Drosophila melanogaster: one gene and its partner. The protein of the gene in region 1 purifies or fractionates together with the protein of each later gene. This does not show direct contact. Each region holds a gene or a part of one and is shown on either strand. Other genes may lie near its edges. The genes, in order: CG5966 and CG14431.

What was found.
Region 2: the proteins of CG5966 (region 1) and CG14431 purify together in Drosophila melanogaster (affinity purification with mass spectrometry, with the first as the bait; one large-scale study listed by BioGRID). This does not show direct contact.

What each region holds. Positions count from the first base shown.
Region 1 is NC_004354.4:5,985,316-5,994,897, reverse strand, and holds CG5966 (uncharacterized protein), read right to left. Parts: upstream 6,108-9,582; 5' UTR 5,659-6,107; coding exon 5,541-5,658; exon of another isoform or gene 4,409-5,540; coding exon 3,513-4,408; intron 3,414-3,512; coding exon 2,805-3,413; 3' UTR 2,258-2,804; downstream 1-2,257. Other genes in the region: Grip (glutamate receptor interacting protein), read right to left, coding at 8,499-8,600, 8,668-9,146, 9,212-9,414, 9,476-9,582.
Region 2 is NC_004354.4:6,903,938-6,912,441, forward strand, and holds the start of CG14431 (uncharacterized protein), read left to right. Parts: upstream 1-4,339; 5' UTR 4,340-4,884; intron 4,885-8,504.

The DNA of each region.
Region 1 (9,582 bases):
TAAAGGAAACCCCAAAATGAGCCACAGCGGGAGGAAAGTCCGGATGATTTCCCCTTTTATTGCCCTCTAAAAAAGTGGGGAAAATAAAATTTGAAATATATATAAAAAGAGTTGGCGCTGCCTGCGCTCAATCATAATTATGTGATTTGTTTGCGACGCCGGCGCGGCCGACTAATTAAACGGCGAAATGACAGAGTGGGTGGGTGTGGATCTACATGGACCCATGGAAAGGGTGAAAAACTGGAAAATCCATAGGGTGGGCATGTTGACGTATTGTCGCCGATGTTGGCCCCGTTGAAATTATGACATTTTGATTTGGGCTCGAGGCCCATTTGATGTCCCTCAGCCGGCGCACTCGTCTGATTTATGCCACAAGTCGGGGGAAAAAGTGAGGAAAATCAAAACAACAACAACAAAATAAGGAGCTGCAGCAAAGGAGTTGGAAAATCTAAGAAGGAAGCCGAGGCCAAGGTGAACTAATTAAGAGGCGGATGGCTAATGGATTCCAGCTGCAGTTAGTAGTCAGCCCAAAAAATATCAAACAGCAAACAGAGAAAAGGGGAGGCACTTGGCCATTTGCTTGGCCGTAATTCCCATGATGACATTTTCGGGACATACGGTGGCCAAGATCGAAGGGTTATCCCAAATCGATTAACATTATTAATGAATGCATATCATGGGAATAAGTGGGCACACATCGTGGGGATGGGGGATACAGGTGGAGCGACGAAAGTCAAAACATGAAAAGGTTTTCAAACAATTTCAATTCCCAGAAACGAATGAAATGAACTCCGGCGAAACATTGTCAACATGATCATCAGCCGTCTCCCTCTGTCGTTCGCTCTGTCTCTGTCAACATATTTATGGGCCAGGTTCACTTTGAGGTTGAGACTGAAACCATAGTACACTGAGGATAGTTTCAGGAACTTATGCTTTATAGCTTGCTCTACAATTGGTTTAACGGCCATAACAATGAAATTATCGATCCAAATATTGAGTGTCATACCTCGCCGAACTCGTATTTTAATGCCCCATCGACTGGCATTTAAATCTGGGATTTTTTATTTTTTTGACATTTTTTGGAAATTTGCAAATTTTGATGATGGTACCCCTTACCAAAAATGCAAAAAATGTAAAAAAATTTTATTTTTCAAAAGTCTGCAGTTTGTGATTTGGGCCGAAAATTGAGGTTGCCCACTGTACAAAACAGTGTCTCTTTTCATTGTGAGACTTATTTTGGTCAAGTTGTAGGCAAAAAACAACAATTAAAACCCTTATTTTCTTATATATTTACATCCATATTTTTAGAAAATTATTAGCAGATTTTTAACCATAAAAACGCGAAGAATTATCCAAATTCGGAATGCCATACCTCGTTGAACTCGTAACTTAATTTCCAATCGATTGATATACCAAGCTTTATACTTCAAATTTTGACAATTTTTCGCAAATTTTGATGATGTTACCCCTTACCAAAAATGCAAAAAATTGAAAAAAATTAAAATTTTCAAAAACCTGCGAAATGTGATTTGGATCGAAAGCTCTGATTTTCCGCTGCACAAAACATGGTCTCTAATAATTGTGTGCCGAATTTGGACCAAGTAATAACTAAGAAACCGCTAAAAATGTAAATATTATGTATTTTTGGTGTGACAACACCTCACAACTTTTTTCTGTGTAACAACTGAGGCTTTCGGGCTGCCCGGAGAGCGTTGGAATGTCCAAATGTTCGATCATAAAACAAAGAGCCGGCCGCAGAAACAGAAACTTAAACTGAAACTCAAACGAAAACAAAACAGAAACGAAAACCAAAACCGAAATCGAGACAGCAGCGAACGAAGTTGAAAACGAGTCGAATCAATGCAGATAATATCAATTATATGTAAAAGATACACATGCATGCGATAGATACATTTGCCCCGATAAGCATTTAAAATATTAACATCAACACAGACTGGGTATCCATGTCATGGAATGTTCCCCGTCTCCACAGTTTCGTGTTTGTGTTTATAATTCATTAGAATCCACAGCTGATTTGAGTTATGGCAGGCAGATCCACAACTGGGGGCTTGTCGTGTTGTCTTTAACCTTTTTATCACAATTATCTAACTTCAGGTTACCTATAAGTCGCGCTTTCGGCGCAAGAAATGGGTCTTCATTTGAATAACCAAGATTTAAATCACATCGGATTTACTTCTGAAAATTAAGCTTTGCTTGTGCAATTATATATGTATACAATATAAACACAGAAACCTTTGTATATTTGCATGTTTATTTACATTAAATTAGACTACATCAGTGCACTACGACTACAAATACATTTAACTCAAAAAAAAAAATATATTGTATATGAAACATATTATTTTATAAAATAAATAACGGTTTGATGATTGTTTCGTATTTCGAACTATTAAAATACTATAATAAAATACAAACTGTTCCTTCTCAGCGAGTTGCTATAAAAGTCAAACTGGGAACACTTTTTCGATCTGTTCCCACAGCGCAGACACGCATCTGCATCTGTGCCACTTCTGGTTGTGCAAACAACTTAGCGGTGACGCAAACCTGCACTGCTTTCTTTGATTTTCTACGCAATCATATTGGGTGCTGAGAAAGTGTGAGCTGAGTTCTTAATTAATTAGCCAATTAATCATTAGACATGAGCAAAATTACAAATTAATTAGCTAATTAAGTAATGATATAGCTTACATACAGTTCCGAATTTAGTGGATAATTAATCAATTAATTGAAATGATAATATTATCATCAATTAGCCAATAAATTATCAAGTAAACAGGTTGATATTAATCCTTGCAATAGCTGGAGCGCAGGACATTTTCAGCGCCCGTGAGAATGGCTCCTTCGTGCTGAGGACATAACTTTAGGTATAGGTCGCTGGACTCCATCGCCTCGATGAGGATGTACTCCAAGTAGATACGCGGCGCGGATAGGATGCGCCATGTGAGTGGATTCAGTATATTGGTGGGGTACTCCCAATTAACAGTCGCGTACTCCGGCTCTCGGAGATTCCGTCCGGCCACCAAAGCTTTGTATTCATAGCCCGGCTCAAAGTACATTGCCTTCTGGGAGAACTTCATCATCTCCGTGGCGGCTCGCTCATTTTTGCCAGCCTTCTTCACCAGGGCATCGTGCAGCTGAATGGACAGGATGCCCACCTCGCCGCCATGTAGCGTACTCTCATCGTGTCCGGAAACTCGCACTGTTATCCTATAGTGCAGTCGGCAGAAGGGCTTGCTATCTCCAGTCCATAGGTAGAAGACCCCTGGTGAGTCGCCTTGCTGCAGCTGGCCAAGATCAACCTGCTCCTGGTAATCCTCCTGGCTGTGGTAGCCCATTCGCAGGCACGTGTGGCCCGGCTCCTCGCAACTGGTGCACTTCGTGTCCTTAAAGCTCTAAAAAGGAAGAAACAATATTACATATTTTAAGTTTGAATATTCAAAAAATCAATCAAAGAGCAATTGATTAGCAATAAAAATGCCTAGGATACCCACCTCGAAAGAATCACAGGTTATTCCAAGGAAAGGACACTGCGAGCCGATGCTTTCCGTAAAATACTGCTGACTGCGAATGTGATTGCAGCCGAGGAACTCCTGCATGGTGAGGAACAGCGTCTTCTTCTTGACCACATCCTGGAACTTCTTGTTGCAGCCGGGATTATCGAAACCACCGTTGGGAAAGAAGTCCACATGTCCCAGTCGCATATTGATGCCAAGCCCGCCTTTCATCAGGGGATTGGCATCCGTGTGCACAATGTCCACGAAGTGGGCATCCGTCTTGTCCAGCCGCACGATGGGATCGGTGTCCGTGAAGAGAGGAGCAGCCGGATCCAGACCCGTTATCCTGGCCGGTTTCAGTCCAAAGTCGTGCTGCAGGTGATAGCCGGCATAGCCGGACAGATGGGCACCCAGTGAGTGACCAATGATGTGCACATTGTCCAGATTCGGAAGACGCAACTCCTCGTACAGCATGTGCACCACATGGGCGGTGATGGCGCCCACTAGCCGGATATTGGCAACCGCCTGGACATACGGCGGACTAGCGCCACCGCCCCAATCGATGAGGACCACGGATGCCCGACCCTCGGGCTCGTGGGCCAGCAGCGCCTTGGCCATGTCCCACATCCAGGGAATTTCACCGGACTCCAGGTATCCATGGACAAGCAGGAATATCTTGCCCTTGGGATTCATTCCCATGCCTTGAACGCTTTCTGGATCATTGAGATCCAGATACTTGGGCTGATCCAATGCCCTTCGCGTGTGCAGTGTGAAATGGGGCTCGATCTCCGAAGGCTTCTGCGGATGCACATTTATCGAACGGGTCACCGTGTTCCAGGGTCCATTGATCGGAAAACAGCCATACACTCCGAAGCATTTTACCTCGTTGATGTCTGGCGAGGATTGGGGAAAATCAGTGGGTTTGTTGTGGTATGTTTGGTCTATAAATCAACAGGCGAACACCTGAACTGAGATAAGCGGGTTGGAATTTTAGCAACAAATAACCAACTATCACTAGTTTTATATATAGTTATAATTCAAAACCACTGAGGCTAAAATCTTGAAAATAATCTACTCGGGCAATTTGAATCCATGAAACTATAATAGGCATTATAAAACCATTAATCTGAACGTAACTGCCTTCTTTTAATATTCCTTTAAACTTTTGCAAAATCTCAATTAGAACTGTTGTGGTCTGGTAAAAAGCCTAACGATCCATGAAAAAACCTTAGACAATTTTCAAGATGTCAGATGCCTGTAATGTTCCATTAAGTATTTCATATGGGCCAGAAGACTTCAATTTATTTGGCCAGTGGTGCATGGATTGCCGTCTCTATTTTATCGTGGTCTTCTTTGGCTTTCCGTTTGTATCGGAAGTTTTCGATTAGATAGGCGTGTGCCGCGTCCCTCCAACAACTGAATACATATTATATATCTACATATATGTACGCACGATATGTACATATATGAAACCGCACCGGACGGAGTCGCGTCATTAGCCTTTTGGGACCCTGATTTCCAAATCAAATTGAAGCACGCCGAGTTGCCACCTGTGCCTCCATCACTCAGGTGATCGCAATCGCTGCGGGCTTCTTGAAAGAGCTTTCCCCATTTGCTAATGCGAGCAGCACTCAGCATCTTTGGATTTCGAAGCACTAAAGATCCGAAAACTGTTTGCTCAGCACACTCAGCAAAAGAAACCACTTAAGGTTGCCCCTAACTGGGCCCAAATGACACAGCTGCGGCCAAGATAATAGCTCCAATTACTCTACTCTCTTACTCTATAAAGTGGGGATATCTTGTATTTATTCTAATCTTTAACTTATTATTGAATAATAGTTCTACATATTTGTAAAAATTTCATTTCATTGAAACACTAGAAATCCCTTAGCTACTCCTATTTCGACCGCCACTGTGGCTCAAGTGGCAGATACTTTTGGGCCACTTTCGATGGACATGTTCTAGTTACGATGGGTGGTGCAATCGGTGGTAGCCAAAAGTGGGCTCGTGGCTCGAATTACTTACCACTTTTGGGAGCTGGTGGTAGGTCCACCAGGGTGTTGACTGCCGCCCGACTGGTGTGGTTGGCCAAATACAACATGGTCTGCAGCATTAGGCCGCCCGTCGTGTTGGCCACATACATCCTGCAGCTGTATCTGATTCCGATTCCGATTCCGATGCCAAATGTGATCCCTTAGATCCTGGGGATCTTGGAAATTCCCAACTTGAATCACACACTTTTTCCCAGGGCTTTAGTCAGTTCTTAACTGAACCACAATCACAAATCACTTGAACGAGTGCCACTCGAGTTGGCTATTATCTAAGGCTAGGACTGTATAGTCGAGTTACGATGGGATCGATCGATTGATCGATCGGCCTTTTGTTTGGTGCCTGGCTTTTCTTTTCTATAGTTTTAATTAAGTTGACGTTAATCTTATCGACTGTCTTTCGTCTCGAGTGTGCCGTTAGCTTGTTAGGTTAGTTGGCGGCCCTCGGTTTCTTTCGATTTTGACTATCGCCAATGACTGGGCTATATGTCGTGTATATCTCCGCCGATCTGAGTCGCTTGGAAACCGTCGCACCACTGAGCGGATCAGCTGCGCCCCACGCAATTTTTATAAAGACGTAGACGTCGCGAGAAATCGAAACCGTAACCGAAATCAGAAAGCTGCATCCGAAGCTGCAGCCGAAGCCGCCGATCGAAGATAGTGCTGACCGATCCGCCGATTTCCCGACATATACATATGCGTACAATACGTCTACCACTTCAAAGGTCAAGTGTAATAAACAGTTGGTGGAAGCCGAATATCTCGTGGAAATTACCATGAAGGCTATTCAGAAAAAAAACATACTTTAAATCTATAACCCGTTCAAGTATCACTATATATACCATTAAATGTTGATAACTACGCTCCTTTTACAGATATTATTTCTATGGAAGTTATGTCGTATTTTCGCTAGACAGCCAACACTGACCAATGAGCTTCGGCACGCGACTTACAGCAGAGAGTGTGAAAGAGAGAGAGGAAAGCAAGAGGCCCTGAGCAGCTGATAGTGCACAAGTCGAGCGTTTCGCTCAGTGTAGATGCAAAGTACACCAGCTGCTCTTTGTTGGATGCACCTTCTTGATAAGGAAGCCGATCCGCTCTGCCGACGACAACAAAGTGACCGCCATGAATGCGTTGAGCAATCTCTTACAGGAAGAGGGCGGCACAAGGGAGGATCTTATGATGGGTCAGAAATAGAGGATGGGGAACAGCCCCCTTGGGCAATCAGCAGCTGTTCTCGACAACCCATTCGGCACGGCGAGAAAAAATATACTTATTTGTATAAACTACCCATAACGATCCTAACGATTTGAACCATGTTTTTAAGGATATTCCATTATTATTGGCAATATATATCTTTAAATTTTAAAAGATTGTTATTTTAGCTTACTTTAAAAGTAGTTATATATCTAAAGATCAATATATTTGTAGAATATCTTTAAGCATGACGAACCTAGTTTTTTGCTAGCTTATTAATAGAAGAAAATTGTTTTGTGTGTAACATGCCAAGTGAATTTCTATGAAAACTGTGTCAATCGACGGGCCCCTGCCACGCCCTTGTCCCTCAGCCCACCGCCACTGACAGGTGGTGGTGTCAATGTCTGGTTAGCACTAAATATATTTGCATATGTATATTATGTTCCCCATTGGCACACGTTATCAGCGGCCAGTAATTTTCGCAGAATCCCGCCGTTTCGCTTTCGAGGCGTCCAAAGTCCGGAGAAGGTGTTTACGAGTCGGGTTTTCGATCGCTTGACACTCCACCAGGATCTCGAATATTGCCCATTGACGTCAAAGAGGCGGCCTTTCAAAAGCGTTATCACGACCTAAAGTCTGTCTGCTTTATTCTTGTTTTTGTTTACGACTTTTCTCGAAAACACAACAGAATACCCTGGAAAAATGCGAAGCTTTTAATACGATCTATACTTAGATATGTCTCTGACTCAGAGGGTATTACTTCCGTAAAGATTCAGCAGCTATTGCCCCGATTTCCGATAAGCATCGAACTTTGATTTCGAAAATTGATTCCGGTTCAAAAATCCACATGCATTGCAAATCAACACTGGTGTCTATTTGTTTTGATATTTTCCCATCGACGGGTCCAACGTCACAGCCACGCCCACTTGTTCCTAGCAAGTGTAAAAACATTTTGTTTACAACAATTATTACATGTGGCGTATAGATTACACCGAAAGGCTAATTGAAAACGGAACACACAGTGCAGAATATGAAGAATATTGAATAACAATCGCTGCAATCGCTCTCAATGGCATAAGCCCCCAAGGGGATTATAGTTTACATAGATCAGTGCCAGATCGGCGGGGGACTATAGCTTTACAGGGTACAAAGTATAAAGTACGCGCAGAATGTTAAACGTTCAAGAGGCATGGAAATTACAAAAAGAGTTTAGATTTATGGAAAATGAAGCTTTATGCTTTAAAATATAATTTTATAGTAAATTTTATAGTAAATTATATTTTCCATTGAAAAATATCATAGCATATTGTTTCCCTAAGCCAAGTGCTAATCAAAATTTTGGGCATACCTTCAAGAATGTAGGTCATACAAGTATAAACATAGACAAGAGGCTGGAAATTTTCTAATCTTTGAAGGCAATGGAATTACTCATAGTTTTGATTGTTTAGTTTGGAACAAACTTTCGGTACGATTGTTTATTTGCTAGAAAACAAATTTTAGCATAGAATTAACGTAGAATTATGGCAGATCTATCTTAAAGAGGACATTATTTGGTTATGCCAGACTGTTTTGCTCCAATTGTCCTTGACGGTAAGGGTTTTTCTGTTTGTTTGTGTGCAGGTTTCGCTCGGTAAAGAATACAGGGATATATGTAGTATATAATATTATGGGCTAGCAATGGCACTTAGGATTAGCTTAGCATACAACTAGTTTAACATAAGGATCTCGGGCAAAAGCATCACTCAGAGCGCTGCATGATCATCTCGATTTTATCGCCAGCGGCGGCGATCAGCGGAACGGTAAGACAGCAATCGAAGTCCTGCGTCTTCATTTCATTTACCTGAGGGTAAATACAATATACATGTATAAAATGATAAAAAAAAAACCAAGCATAACTTCAGACCAACCTGCATGATCCGATCGAAGGGCTTCAGTAGGCCGCACATATCGGCAGGACCTCCGCTGCGAATCCTGTTGATGAAGACGCCACGCTCGTACAGTCCATCGGATACCGAGAATCCATAGTCATCGTACACCTTGTCCTTGTACAGGGTGACATGAAACACCCGGGGCTTTCCACTGCCCGAATTCCCATTGACTGCTCCGCCACCGTTGGCATTCCCGCTACCCGACTCCTTGCTGGCCTCCGTATTCGCCGACGGACTCCGGGGACGCCGTTGCACCTTGGCATAAATGGCCTGCGTCTGCGGCAGATGACTGCCATTGGCCAAATCGTGGCTGCGCAGGATCTTCAGGTCGACCAGATCGCCGAGATTCTGCAGCAGACTGGTGGCATGTGAAAGGGGCATGCCCTGCACCGAGTGCTCATCGATGGCCAGCAGCTGGTCACCCACGTGGATCTGGCCATTCTTGTGAGCAATGCCACCTGTTTGTTATATTATAAATGTTTTAGTTTAAAATATTCATAATATTATTTGTATGTAGACTTACCCTCTACAAGGCCACTAATCGTAATGGACTTGGTGATATCCTCGCTGCCGGCCAAAGTGATGCCGAGCAATCCTCCTTTGGGCTCCAAGCGCACCGTGAAGATGATCTGGTGCAGACTGCTACCGCTGCTCTTGCTGCTCGAACTGGCCGCCGATCCGTACACCTTGTTCTCCATGGGCGGCGGCAAGGCGGTGCAGTCGACACTGAAAAATAATACTCATTCAGAAAAAATTTTCAGAACTTATAAACATAATGTGGACTCACCTGGCATAGCGATTGAGCTCGTATCCGGGGTACATTTGCTCCTGCTCGTCCTCCTCCTCGGGCAACTCGGTGGTTAGACTCTGCGTATTGGGTGGGGCCACATAGGA
Region 2 (8,504 bases), 920 kb from region 1:
CATCGTCATCATTGCTATTGATATGGTTTTGCAGATGTTTGCACTTTTACGGGGGGGGGGCTGCAATCTTCCCTGCCCCTCACAATGGTATAAAAAAGGGAGAAAATAATAAAGAATGCAGAAATTCCAGCCTTGTACTACTCATACATTTGCATGGAATTTTTGTTTGATTTTATTTTGCCACGCCTACACGTTACATGAGGGCGCTGTACGCCCAATTGTTGTTGGTCTTCTTGCATCGGTTTGTGTGCATTTCTTTTTCCCATGAATTTATTGCTTGCATATTTTTGGGCTTCTACAACCTGGGCCACGCCCCCTTTCTCCCACCGTAACGCCCTATGTGTGTGTGTGTGTGTGTATGTCGGTGTGTGCGTGTGTGTTTGCTCCCATTTTGTTTGGACACGGAAATGGTTAACAGCAGCAACGGATGTTGTGTAAATTTAATAAATATACCTTTCGCTACCTTTGTTTGTTTAACCAATTCAATTTTATTTTTAACCCGTAACGCCAAAAGCCGGCTATTGTACTCGCTGGCTGCACTGAGCGAAATAAACAAGTAAACAAGAGAGGGATAAGTCATTTATGTTTAAGATTTTTAAACTGCAGTATCTATAACTTCGTGTTACTTAAACGTATTCAAGTTCGCCAAGTTATAGATTTATTTTTTTTTGAAAATTATATCATCCTAAGCATTGTTTTTCTCGGTGTATACATCCTAATTAGCTGTTTGGCTCGCATTGTTGCGCATTTTTGGGCGATCGGTAGAGTGGAAGTCATCCGTAATATTCACTGCGCGTAAATCGCTCGGATTATAATTTGTATAAATACACACGGCCAGCTTGTTACCCTGTAGTTTCTGGCTCAGACAGGCTTAAAAAAAGGATACAAAGGACACGCCTAATCCTTTGGCATGTTAGCGGTAATTGCGCGTTGGCTGTGCGACGATTTAATTGAAAACACGCTATTATTTTTATTCACAAATTGTGTCAGCCTGGCAACCGATTGAATGGCGCTACGAAAGGGTTTGGCAATTATAGTTTAACAAAAAAAAAAAACCCAAAAAAAAAACCTTTTTGTTCAACTGTAATTGCCATGTTTTGATTTTTAAATACAGGCTGATTTTAGTCGGAGTTTAACAAGCATCTAATTGCTTCGACCTTGTGTTTAACTTTCTCAGCAAAAATATTTGAATACCTGTGTTCACCATTTGTTTTCCCACTTCCTGGCGCTCAAGTGATCTTTTAGACTTTCACTTGGTCACGATGACTCGTCCAATCAGTGGCCATATAAAATGCTGACTTGTGTGGCTTAAATATTCGAAATGAACCCAAAATGCAGTTCGGAGCAACACAAAACAAAAAAAAAAAAAAAATAAAATAAGAAGAAAAACAAAAAATGTGAAGAGCAGGAAAACCAGAGACTGACGACTCAATTGAATTCTGCGGCAATAAGTCAATTGGAAATCATTGAACAACAATTTGACGTGCCATTTATAAAAGCATCAAAATCTGTTCGACCACTTTGCTTTGGCTGGTGCGCCGGGGAAAAGTTGGGAAAGCTGGGGAAAAGCTAGGGAAAAGCTGGCACAAGTGGGGGAGTCTACGGTCTGAGGAGCTATAGAAGTTCCAAATCGAAGGAGTGTGGCCACTACGTAGTGTGCCAATTAATGTTGGCAATTAAATGGCGTCCACAGCATTTGAACGGCACATTTGTCAAGGGGAAACAGAGAGGCTGCTCGATTTTCCAAAAAAAAAAAAATAAAAAAAACCCCCAACTTCACAATTGAACCCCCCATGACGCACCACCACCGCCAACAACAACAAATGTACAATGGCCATCTGATTGCTTGGCCATTTCCAGCATTTTGCTCAAGTTGCTCGCATTTTCTGGCCTTCTTTCCACTCGACGACTCTACGTCGTCTTGACTGCAATTCAATTTTGCCTCGATTCAATTCGCTTCGATACGATTCGATTTGATTTTTTTTTTTTGATCGGGTTTTTCTCCTGCATTGTCTGGTCGCAATGATATACAACATTTATATATTTTGAGCAACAATTGTTTTGGCATTAAAAGCCGGCGGAATGTACAATTGATGGCCCGACTTTGGACCACGTTCGTTTGCTGTCGCCGATGCCATCCATCACACTCAAAGCGAAATGAATTGAAACTAATGCCGAAATGGCAATCAATGCAACATGAGCAACATGAGCAACATGAGCGACATGAGCGACTTGCACTTGCACTTGCAACAGCTGTTGTTCGCTTGCTTTCCCGGCGACCAACTCGAAAATCCTGTTCGTCGTGGAAAGCCAAGTTTTTCTGGTGAAAATGGTTAGTGGAGCATCGGAGGCGTAGGCTCACTTTCTAGTAGAAATCAACTTCAGTTCGAAAAAAAAAAAAACTGGCTTCAAATTGATAGTCATTCATTTGGGAAATCAATCATATTACCACTATGAATTTTCATTTCGACCTTCCATGTCTGTATATGTTTATGTTTTCCATTTCACCTAAATAGTAATAGTAATAATTAGCTTGGTGGCATAAACGTATATTAATTGTGGATATGTGTGCGCGAAATTCCGAAAGCTGGCATCCTGCTGTTTGTTTGCTGGCGTTGGTTGGCGCAAATCATAATTAACACCACCACCTGCCAGTTGACCCATCCTGCATCAAATCCTTTGACGAACGAAAACATAGCACCTAATAGTCAAACTGACACGCTAAGCTGATTAACTCTAATCTAAAGTTGCAACCGGGGGAAAATAAAACACCGACCGAACACAATCAAGGAAAAGCGAGTGTGAGCCAAAGGGAAAACAGCAGGGAAAAGCACAGCCCGCATTGCCTGCGAAAAAGCACTGAGCGAAATTGGGTATGCAAATGCAATAGTTGCTTGCGCGTAAAACTTTGAAACGGAACTAACAACAAAATTGTAAATATATATTATAATTAAATATTTATCTAATATTAAACAAAAGCATTTTCACAGTTCTTTAAGTGATATCTTACTTGATATCTTACTTTTTTTTCAGTGCACTGCCTAACCCACCGGCTATACGACGACGACTGTTTACATTTGTCAAAGATTTGGGTCTGGGTAAAAGGAGGTGAAAAGCACGGCGTTTCCCATCGAAGAGCTGGCTGGCAATGAAGACGGGCGGAACAAGTGCACGAAATTGAGAGCGACAAGGAAGCCGAGGAAAATAAAGAGGATCCAGCGGCAGGACGGATAAAAGTGCACCCAACATGGTACCAAAGTGACCCCTAAAAATCCGGCTACCAAATGCCGTCGGAGACTCTTATCTGTCCCCCGGATTTGTGACTCCTTTCCACCAGTCACTGGATTCACGTTTTCCTTGTGTGTGTGTGTTTAGTGGGTGTCTGGCCTCATCTGGTTTGGTTGTATGGCTGTTTTTGGCTTTTTGGCCGCGTGTCCTCTGTCCGCGTGTCCTTGAATTGGCTTAGAGTTCTCGGGGGCGTCTGGATTTGTGGCATCTCGGGTCTCCCCCCAGTCTCCATAGTCTCGGTCACAATCTCCGCCTGAACCCAAAACAGACACAGCAAACGGAGAGCAAAACACCGAAATCCCGAAAAAGGTGCGCGTCCTAAGCTGACCGTGAATGGATGAGGACAAGTTGTCGAAATTGCCAGCGGAACCCAGCTTACTTACCGATAATAACTTGCCCTCTTGTTGGCTGGCTGTCAGCACTTTGCGGGCAAGACCAGGTTGGCAGCCCTGTCAGCGTCTATCGGACAGGTTGCCAGCTCCTCGCGGCAATGTTAAAAAAAGTTACAACACTTTGGTTTTTGACTTTCAGCGAAGTGTCGTCATGTCTGCATTGTTTTTCATTTTACAATCACAAGCTGCTTTCACCGATGAACATATCCATATATAGTAAGTACATTATTTCAAGAGTTTATTCTCCGGACTATGGCAATATTTTGCATATATGTATGTCTGTAGTTCATTTGCAATGCCCTCAAACTTTTCGGCCAAAAAGATGCGCGAAACGGGGAAATGGCGGCAATCATTTGAGCCGCTTCGAAAACATCACTTTGCCTTCAAGGCTGTTTGACGTTGGGTGGCTTGGTTTTTTGGAAAAAGTGGGCAATGGTGAGGAGTGAATGGCGGCACCGGCTTGGTCATATTTTGGCGCAAGTTTTCACCACACGCCCAAAAGGGGAAAATGCAGACGCTGCTGCATCGCCGCTGTCGATGAAGACGACGAAAAGCGAGGAAAAGTGGCAAGACGACTGTGCGTGCCGCCTCGTGCCGCAGTTCGGCGCTTCGGCAAATGGAGCTCGGCTTCGGGAAATGGCGCTCGGCAAGTCGGGAAACACAGGCGGCATTATCAGACGGCAACTTCAGTTGCAAGCGAGCGCTCACCGTGTGTGTCTCGTGTCTCTCGGGCGGCAAACAGCAATAGCAACTTGCAACTTGCAATAGCCAGCAACGTGCCACAGCCAGCAGCAACTAGCAACATAAATTGCGTGTTTTTTTGACTTTGACTTTGGGCCACAAGCGGTTTTGAGTTTGAGTCTCGAACTTTGAGTTTTCCGCGCGCGTTTTTCTCAAATCGATTCGAAGGACCGGGCGACTGTTGAGTGTTTTGTTTTGGTTTTCGTTTGTGTTGCATTGTCACGTGCCCGACCATTTGTTTATTTGTTTTTTGTTGCTGTGTTGTGTGGTGCATGAGCATTAAGTCAGCGTCCAAAAGAACAGCCAAGCCAACGTGCAGCATTTGCTGGACTTCTTTTGAAATTGAAAACAGAAATTCGTTTTCAAAGCTGCAGCATTAGATGGACTTCCCAAAAAAGAGCTAGTTACCAGTTTCAACAATAATTGCAAGCGAAGCAAATTGCAACTGCATAGAATACGTTCGGTATGTTTCTTAATATGTCAATAGAATACTACGTATTTTTAAGCCCACAACTTTTTATGCACATGGTTTAAATGTGTTATTATTACTTTATCCTTTTTTGTACTTTTCTAACATATTTACTGATCTACTGATTTGTCAGCAAACAAGCTGTCATAGATTTGCTAATATTTCTTTTGAAAGATGTGCTTTCAATAACAACCTGCTTCATATGTTGCAACCGATGGAAATCCGCCACTTTTGCAGAATTATAGTAAGCAGCGAGAATCGCAATATTTCTTCAGTATTAATTCTATGAAAAATCATAAGCAACCTAAACGGAACATTTTGTGGCAAGCAAAGTGTTTCGTTATTGTTGGTCTTTCAATAACGAGCTGCGATATTTATTGCAACCGATGGAAACTTGCAACATTTGTTCAACTGGACGGCGTGTGTGACTGGTTCGTGTTGCCTTACTATTTTATTTTTAATTTTTTTCTTACCATTTTTTTTTGTATGTTTCGTTGTATTTATTTTTAGCGAAAGTTTCTGTTGGTGTTTTGTTTGATTTTCTTGTGCCGGCGTGACGAGTTTGCCAATTTGCCAGCTTGCTGTTTGGTTATTGCTGTTGCTGTTGTGAGGGGAAAAATGAAAACAATTTGCTGTGGATGCTCGGCCTTCGCTTTTCTTCATCTCCAGTTTGGGCGCCCCTAATTAAACCGGTTAAGCGTTTCATTTTTGTTTAGTAATTTTTGCTGTTGCTGTTTTTTTTTTGCTTTTTTTTGCTTTTTTGTGCGTTTTTCGGTTTTCTGCTAATTGCCAGTGAAATTTGTGACAGCAGCAGCAGCACGACAACAATCAGCTGCCATTGTGTGTCCTTGTTAATGAAATCGTTAAGCTTTCCGAAGGACCCGGTGGTAGCCATGGCGCTCACAGGACGATTACGTTGACGAGGGGAGAGTGAAAAAAAAAAATAAAAAATAAAAAAAATGTAGGGAAGAAGGAAGAAGGTGGTGCTGCTGGCTAGGCCAATATCAAAAGGATTTCGTTTGAATGCGAACATGAAAATATGGGCGAAATATGCGAAAAATGCTTGCCCGAGGAATCTGGCAAACGGAGCGATATGCCGATGGCAAACCTGATGGCTGCTTTTGGGGGAATCTCGTCAACAAGCTGTTGAAGCGGCCAAAAATCTGGTAAAACTCAAAAAAAAAGAATGGCCCGCAGGCTATTTACATGGAAAATCGCACGAGCTTGTCAAACGAAATGTGCAGCTTGCAGTTCAAAGGTTGTTGAAAGTGCGATAGCAAAATAAACATTGAATATAAGTAGCCAACTTTGCTCTGCTCTAAACTAATTATTGGAAATTCACTGATAGCCTTATTTGTTTGTACCAAATCGAATTAATATGGAAATTCTTAATTAAAACTCCATCTAAATGTAAAAACAAAAATCAAACCAAGCGAGTGAAAATGCTGAAACAGACTGAAAAGATAAACAAAAAAGAATTGGGCAACTGAATGAAGCCATCAGCAGAGCGCCATGTGCAGCAGCACCACCACCAACAACAAAAACAACTTGCAGGTGGTGGGTGGAAAAGCGATGGAAAATGTGATGGCTGGAAGGGGGGGGAGGAGGGGGAAAAATGTGAAAACGCGCCAAAGAGACGGACAACAGCGGAAAAATGCCGCCAAACGCAAATACTGCGGCACAATTTCATTTTTTTGTTATCTCACTTTTTTTTTGCTTTATTTTTTATTAATTTTCATCGTTTTTTGCCTGCTTTTCCGGAGGACACCAAAACGCACACACACCAACGCACTCAAAGCTTCGTCGCCTGCGGGCCAAAAATTTTAGATTTTCACTTTTCCCAGCCGCGACTGCTGTTTTATTATTATTATTTTTTTTTTATTGTGTGTTGACAAAATATCCCACAGCAGCAGCAAGGAAAAAATGAATAAAAAAAGCTACTCTGGCTCACATTATGAAATTTTTAATCAAATGAAATGACAATAAAATTTTGTCGTTGCCAAATTAAATGAAATGTCAATTTCGAGTCAAAAAAAAAAAAGAGGGATAAAATTTGAAAATCACTTAAAAGTCGCAAAAAAGAAGTGAAAAGTCGTTGGGTTGGGCGAAGCAATTCAAATTACAATTTAATATCTTTTTTAGTTGTTTATTGGTACTTGAAATTTGATTGACCAATACAAACACTTGATCTACTCGTTTGCAATTTAAATTAACAATTGCCAATAAATATATTCCATCATCTATCAGATTTGATATCATTCCGTATAATTAGTCCTATTTTATTAACACTGTTGGCCAGTTTCAAATTCGCAATGCCAAGAAACTAGATTATAATAACTGCAAATGGTTTATCCAATTAATGACTTAATTTGCTGGCAAAAATCAAACCATTCCTTTTAAAGGATAAACTGTTGAGCACAAATGCACTACCATTTCAACGAAAACTTGGCCACATAGTTGGCCATTTATGCAAAATAGATTTACAGATTTGCATCGAGGCCAGGTGGCATAATTGATATTAATTTTGTAATTAAAACGTAAACGGATTGAAGGAAGTATAGCTGGAGATTATGCAATATTTCGCAGTTGAAAAATTTTCAATTGAACAATAAACAAATAACAAATCGCACAGAGGACAAGCAAAATTGTCAAACATTCCGACATTTCTGACACTTGACATAAACTGGCAGATATATCTGCATTTATAAACGCCATTCGGATGGCCTAATTTATGCATATTTGATGAAGCGCATTTCGTAATGAATATTGCAATAATCGATCGACAATATTAGGTTTTGGTTTAATTGAATTACCTTTTTGTTGCCAAAGTCGACGGCGAAATTGTTGGAAAATTGCAATCCGAAAATCGAAAGTCTCACTCATTTTCCAGCCAGCAAATGCAGCGGAGCATTAAAATTGCCTTTTAATTATCACGAACTAAAAATACACAAGCAGAAAATGGAAAAAAAAACGCGAAAAACATACTCTGCATAAATCCATAAATTGCCTAAACATGAACAAGAGCACAAAAATGATAGAGCTTTTATCCCCTTTCATGTTCGTAAATATGATTAAAAAGTTGCGATTTCAATAGATTACACGTTGATTAAAATTTCGTTGCGGACTTAAATTAAAGATCTTCATTTGATTTGAGATTATTTCATCGGTTAGTTGGGGGGAAAAGTTGTGCGAAAAGAAAACTAGTTAATTAAATCGTAGTGAAAATGGATCGTTTTCAAGCAGAAAATCCGACTATTTAGCAAGGCAACTCAATCTTGCGTTCCCCTTGGGCTTTCACCAAAATTGGCGACATATTTATTGGGATTACTTAAATCGAGCTCAGCTCTTTAAGTCGTCCAAATATTTTGTGGCTGGCTCACTTGAAAGCTGTCAGCTTCAACTTTTGGCCCCATAATCCCCCCTTTTTTTTTACCTGTCTCACCTGTGTTTTTCCTTATTATTTTTTTTTTGCACTTCATCAAGTTGCGTTGAGCCAGCGGAGAAGGAAACTAAATGCGCAAACACATGTTCCCCATTCACTTGCGACACGGCAACTCTGTGAGAGTTTGAGTGTGCACTGAAAAAAAAAAGCTACAAGCTACAACATTATGTTT